2 linked regions of the Nothobranchius furzeri genome follow. The protein of the gene in region 2 interacts with the protein of the main gene of each other region in a pairwise test. Links are inferred from orthologs where the notes say so. Each region holds a gene or a part of one and is shown on either strand. Other genes may lie near its edges.

What was found. The genes of interacting proteins can lie anywhere in the genome.
Region 1: the proteins of sumo1 (region 2) and zcchc7 interact in binary tests that used the Homo sapiens proteins (3 or more experiments, as listed by UniProt). The link is inferred for Nothobranchius furzeri from reciprocal best matches to the Homo sapiens genes SUMO1 and ZCCHC7.

The regions. Positions count from the first base shown.
Region 1 is NC_091747.1:79,092,364-79,096,120, reverse strand, and holds the start of zcchc7 (zinc finger CCHC domain-containing protein 7), read left to right. Parts: upstream 1-1,560; 5' UTR 1,561-1,763; coding exon 1,764-1,819; intron 1,820-2,980; coding exon 2,981-3,509; intron 3,510-3,757.
Region 2 is NC_091743.1:83,218,291-83,221,150, reverse strand, and holds the end of sumo1 (small ubiquitin-related modifier 1), read right to left. Parts: intron 2,674-2,860; coding exon 2,596-2,673; intron 2,485-2,595; coding exon 2,413-2,484; intron 2,139-2,412; coding exon 2,070-2,138; 3' UTR 522-2,069; downstream 1-521. Other genes in the region: claudin-34, read left to right, coding at 1-364. UniProt on the Homo sapiens protein: Ubiquitin-like protein that can be covalently attached to proteins as a monomer or a lysine-linked polymer.

The DNA.
Region 1 (3,757 bases), on a different chromosome or scaffold from region 2:
ATATATATATATATATATATATATATATATATATATATATAAATATAAAACATTTATTTATTTATTTATTTATTTATAAAACTAGCTTTCTCCTCTCTAGGTAGTGCGCAGGGAAACTTCACTGTCGGTCACCTAATTTTGGGCGGACAAACCCGGAAGTAGTTTGCCTTCTCCGGTCTGGAAACAGATGAGAAGCTGGGAATACTTAATTTCATTGATAAAGGTAAGTTTGTGCCTAACGACTCATAAATTGAGGCACACTGAGAAGTCGCTTTAATTGATACTATGTCAAAGGCGTGTTTTCTTTTATTTCGTGTTTGAGATTGAAGTACGTCATTGTTTACATCCGACCGGCTACTTGTAGACACGTGCACGTGCACACGCAGCAGTTCACTTGCTAACAGCATTAGCCGACCTGTGAACGAAAATCTACAACCGTCACCTCTCAGTGATGGAGTATCTGCTTCCAGTGTGCTTGTGTGAATTTGACGAAATATTTTACAGGAGTAATAGTTTTGTTGATGAACGAGCATGCTAGTTCGTTAGCCAGTCGGTGTTTACCGTCAGAGATGGTATTAGCTAAATCAAATGCGGTTTGGTGTGACGCATTTTCGCCTTCGCTGTGTTTCTCTGTTATCTTAGAGATCGTCTTGAGCAATCTGTACATGTACACTTTGTGACTGCAAGTGAAGCGGTTAAACATTTCATCTTAATTCAGCGACACACTGTCCTTGAAACCACCAATAATGTCTTCCGGTTGTTTCTTTATGTCCTTATTTTAAATGTTACCAGTCTTAGCAGCAATAGAATGAATGTTTAGCACTTTTTAGTGACTTCCAGAATTTTGTCTGAGTTGAGCTAGTTGGAGTGTTTTGTCTTTAATGCTAGAGAATTGGCCACCCTAGTGTCGTGTTTACATCACAGCTGGAGTTACTGACTTTATTGGACCCAGGAATTAATTGAAAATGTTGTTCCCTCTGATGGTAAAAGGACAGGTTTGGACAGGCTGTGTTGTTGAAGAGCAGCAGTACAGTTAACATGGTTGATTATTTATTCCTATGACTATTTTCATTTTAATTTGTGAGGAAACTGTTTTAGTCTTGTAAAAAGAGAGTTGTCTTTTTCTATAATAATACAGCACTTACAGTGGCTCTGAGCTGAGTGGAGCTTTAATTAGATAGATTAAATAAAACCAGTCACCATTGTCGATGGATTGTGACTGTTCTGCTGCTTAAGAACATGTTAAATCCCACCTCAGCAAAGAACCATCGGTCATTTGTCACCTCCTTGTTCCTGTGTGCTTCCATACTTATATAACTGTTGCCCCTCACCAGGCTTTAAGACTCTACTTTCTGTCCCTCTAATCCCTAGTGGTCGGCTTGTGACCATGTAGCGTGGCGTTTATGCAGCGTGCACGGCCAGGGGGCCAATCATCTCCAGCCATCATGGCACAGACACGCAGGACTGGACAGAGCAATGGGCCGGTGCTCCTTCCATGTCCTCGTGTGTGTGTGTGTGTGTGTGTGTGTGTGTGTGTGTGTGTGTGTGAGGCAGAGAAAGACGGATTTAGAAAATTAACAACGCAGTGTTTTATAGAGTGCAGTGAGTAGATTTACCAGTTTCTAACATAGTTGTTCTAGGCTGAGTTTTGTCTTTAGATGTTGTTGAAACCATCACCTGCCAGGCGATAAGCCTCGGTTCACTATTGTTTCCTATCAGCACGGTCCTGATGGAAAAAACTGCAGGTTCAAGTCGTACTGCACATGAGTCATGCTCTCTCAACTTTGCTAACAAGGTCTTATGGTTTTGAGAACAAAAAGTAAGTGTCTAGTAATTGATCTTGGCCTGAATTCATCTCTGATCTATTGTTCTGTCGAGATGAAGAACTCTAGAGCAAAAGTGAAATGCATCATGAAAGCTGGAGATACGTCTTACTCTTATTATTATTATTATTATTATTATTATTATTGTCTGAAACGTACATGATCATGAGAAACGTCACCAGCAACCCGTTAAACTTTTACTTCAACAAATACCAAGCCTCTGATTTTAAATAGGGGCAAATTCAACTTTGTTCACCATCTGATTGCAAAAAGCTGGAATATTTAATTATTTAGTGCCTTTCTGAAGCATTTAGGTGACCAGTATTTAAAATGAGATGTGCAGTGGAAATAAAATGCACTTTGGAAGATAGAAATTCAGTTAATGCCTTTCAATTTTGAGAAAAAGTTCACTCATTTGTAGCACAAAACTATTTGAATTAAAATATCACCGTGTAGTTGACTTTAGAAAAAGATTTAAAGCAAACACTTCGCTGGTCTACAAATAGACAGCAACACAACATGTTCTAGAATGTTTTTATTAGGCCTCAAACTATGATGAAGCCTTCAACATTTGGGTTTCATGACATAATTGCAAACAATTAGCAACTTTTCTACACGTTTCTTTGGTACAAGTTTCTCACAATGCATCTTTTTTACACTCAGTATTTTCACAATTGTTTTGCCACCTCTCCTCAAGTTGTCTAACATTTATCACACTGGAATCAGGTTCGACAATTTTGAAATGAACTTTTGACACGATTTGTTTGAATATGTTAAAAATTACCCCAACTTAAAAGAGACCTGTGACTCGTAAGATACATTAGAGTCTTCTAAAATGTTTTCTGACATTTTGGGATCTCATCCATCAGTACTTGTTGCTGTTTGTCACTAATAGTTACAGCTCAGTAGATTAATTTAAAAGGCAGCTAAAACTTTTAAACCTGCTCATGTTTAATGTATGTTTTTTTTTGTTTTTGTTTTATATATTTATCCTCTGGTTTATCATTAGCAGCAGTGTCACATATATAAAATGGTACTTATTTACATTCTAGTTATAATAGTTTTAACACAGAGAGGGAAAAAATATGAAGCAACTACTTTGTAAAATGCTTAAAATGACAAAACTAAAGAAACTAATGTTTTTTTTATTGATACAGTCAGCCTCTGGATGCCACCGACTCCTCTGCTGTGAGCAGAGCGAATGTGTGGTCTTTGGGGGAAATGTATAGCTCCATCCAAGACTTCAAGATGTTAGAAGATGATCTCTACCGAGAGGATGGAGGAGACTCTGAAGTGTCGGAGATCAACAGTGAACTGGAGTTCCACCTCTACAGCCAGCTTCACTACTCCTCCAATGCTCTGGAGCTGGAGGATGATGAAGAGAAGATTTTGGAGGACCAGCAACTGCTCGAGAAGACCAAAGACGGTGACGGAAAACCGGAATATCCCAAAGACAGCAAGCCTCCATCACCTGATGATCACAGTTACCAGAAACACCTGAAGAAAAAAAAAGTTGTGAAACAGAAGAAGAGACAAACTGTCTCCAAAGGTCCGAAGCTGTCATCATCTGCCTTTGAAGAGGTTATTGTGATTGACTCCAGCCCAGTCGTCATCTCCATCTCTGAGAGTGATTCTTCAAATGATGATGGCATCTGTGCCATGAAGACCTCAACTCCAGGTCGACAGGTAGAAGCACAATGTGCCTTAAGCTATGTCCATATAGTTTAGATGATGCAAACAGATTTGTCATTTTTATTCAGGTGAATATCTGAAAGACTTACTTTGACTTTTAATTTGTGAGATTTTCTTTTCCATCTTAAAGGTGTGGAAAACTGAAAACATTTTTTATGATTATTTCTGGATATAATTGATCACTCTGAGTTTTTCATGCAGGTTGAACAGGAAAACAATCTTCTACATCTATCTCCTACATT
Region 2 (2,860 bases):
CACCGGGGTGCTGTGCCTGCTGGCAGCTGTGCTAGCCCTTGTTCCTCTCCTCTGGAATCTGAGCTCAGTTGTGACAAACCAGACCATCGCGTTTCCACCCGAGTTCGAGTTTCCTCGGGCACCAGAGTCCCAGCAGGTGGGAGGAGGCATCGGCGTGGGGATTGTGGGCTCTGTCCTCATGATTGTGTCTGGGATTGTGTTCTGTTCGTACAAACTGCCAGAGAGAACAATACCCATGATGCTTCACTCTGTGCTGGAGCAGCTGCATCAGAGCACTTCCTCAGCATCAGGACCAAACGACCACAAGGCTGTGATCCCCAGTGGCAAAGACAACCCAGCGTTTGACATGGCTGAATACTTCTGATTTATTCTGAGACCCCACATGACTCATCTTTATTTTGAATGACTTTTGTACAAAACTAAGATCACAGGTTCATGCATTTTGTATGTTTTTCTTTCCAATTCAGCAGGAGTAGAAATATTTTTAAGAACAAGCACACAATAAAACACACACACGAGCATTTTCCGTTAAATATTTTATTCAAATAAAAAAATCACATCTCCCATCATTTCAAACCATCTGCATCAAGGTTCCTCCACCCAATCACAGCCCTCCCGGTTCAGGTGGAGACGAGTTCACCTGAGCTGCTCATTATTCAAACACCGACAAGTTTAAACCAAAGGTTCTGAACTTTTTTATTGCATGCATCTCTGGAAGGAAACAACTCATTTATTAAAGTGTATGTCTATAATTTAAGCAGATGTAACTCCACATTGTTACAGATGGTGGAGAAAACCCTCGTGTGGCAGTAGAGACGGCTGATCTCAGGTCAGTTCATGCTGTCAAACATCGGATCACATCCTTATCCAGCTTTACGAAGCAGTTCGGGTTGTTTTTATCGGGTTCAGATTTCATCACAAGACATGTACGCTTCCAAAGAAGCACCAAAATCATTGCTTAAAAACATTTGAACTGCTGGACAGAATCAGCAGAAAGTTTTCATCTATATATACTTTATTCCATTCAAACACATTAATGCTGAACACAAAATATACAAGACAAGCACGACTAAAATAAAAAAGTCATAAAATATCAGCAGAGAAGTTTTAGTTTGGATGAGATGTAGAAAACTGATTTAATCCACAGAAGCCCAGATTACGGCCCAGTAATCCCAGCCTGAGCAGAGACAGGGCTGTTGAACCACCCCAGTAAAAGTAGAAAATGAAACTCATTTTAAGATTTACTGAAAAGCTTCCTGGGATCCTTTTGGATCACAGAAAAAGTGTTTTTAGAAAATCCAAATTTAGAATCAAAAGGTTTTTTTATTTAAATGAAAACATCATTTTACATTGGTAGTTAAATATAAAAGACACATTCTGGTTTCTGACCATTCAGTAAAAGAGCTGTTGTCATGGCAACCTCTGAAGCCCTGAAGTTGCAAAGAAATTATAAAATCTTTTAGAAGCAGACACGTGTTTCACTGCCTGGACCGTTTCAAACACTTTAAAAGTTACTTCTATATATAAAAAAAAAATAAAACCACTCACATCTTAGTTTAAAGAGCTAAAGTCAAGCAACACTAGAAATTCCGTCTCCTGCTTCGTTTGAACTAAATCTGGATATTGTCCATTTATTTCTCGTTGAGGACATTTCCCAAACAGGAGCAGAGCTGAAAGTCTTAAACGGTGTGAAATATCCGGGCTTCAGGACAACAACGTTGTTGGTTTTTATAACTCATACAGCCACTTAAAAATCAGTACGTGTTTTTAACATTTGCTTTTATGACGTTTATTTCTGAACCCTTTGACAAGTGATTAAAAAAAACAAAAGCAGCAACACAGAGGCATGATTTGTGGGAATCCGATATGACGCAGAATGCTAAAGCTCGGGCTGACAACGAGAACGTCCTCCATCTGCAGAACCAGGGACCTGCTGTCTGTGCACCTCCCTGTCTCACACCTGGAAGCCCAGTGAGTCCATTATGATCCAGATGGTTTGAAAACAAACAACAATACATACATACAAAAAACAAAACAAAAAAAATCAAAATAATAATAAACTGAGAGGTTTAATCGTTCCAAAATCCCCCGGTCTGTTCTTGATACACCTCGATGACGTCTTCATCTTCCATCCCAAGCTGCCAGCGACACACAGCAGAGAAATCAGCAAACCAGAAACGTTAGTAACTCCTACAGTCCCACATCTGTGATATAGTGAAAAGCTGCTGATCTAATCATCTTGTTAGGACTCCGGAGACAAACCGTGACTATAAAATACACGACAGCAGCCCAGATAAACGAGTCAGTGAAAGGTTCAGAGCGTAAACAAAACAGATCGGTGAGAATGAACACACTAAGAACAGTTTCAGCATCAACATGACAGAATAATAAGGCCACGGCGGCCATGTTTACCTCTTTTGGAGTCTGGTTGTCTGCGATTCTCTGTCCCTCAAACAGAAACCTTAGTGTGCTCGCTGGGACGCCCTGTGAGAGAAGCACCAGAGGACACATGAAGACGTTTGGGTTCGTCGAGTTTCTCTTTGTTTGGTTTAGAGTAAAGAATCGAGCAGCAATAGGAGCTACAGCTGATCGTACCTGTCTCTGGCTGTACGACTCTTTGAGTTTCTTTAGATGTGTGGTCATTTTCACCTTAAAGTGGATTTCACTGCTGTCCTGTTGCACAAACAAAAGGGTGAGGCAGCAATGAGAATCTGTTCATTTACTGCTTGTTACATGTTTGTCAGATTAAAGCATTTTCAAGGTGAGTTGTTGAGATGTTGCATGAACTGTCTCTATGATCAAATTACAACATGATCAGACTCAAGCCTGTTAGAAACCTCTAAAATATGTTGAAATTCAA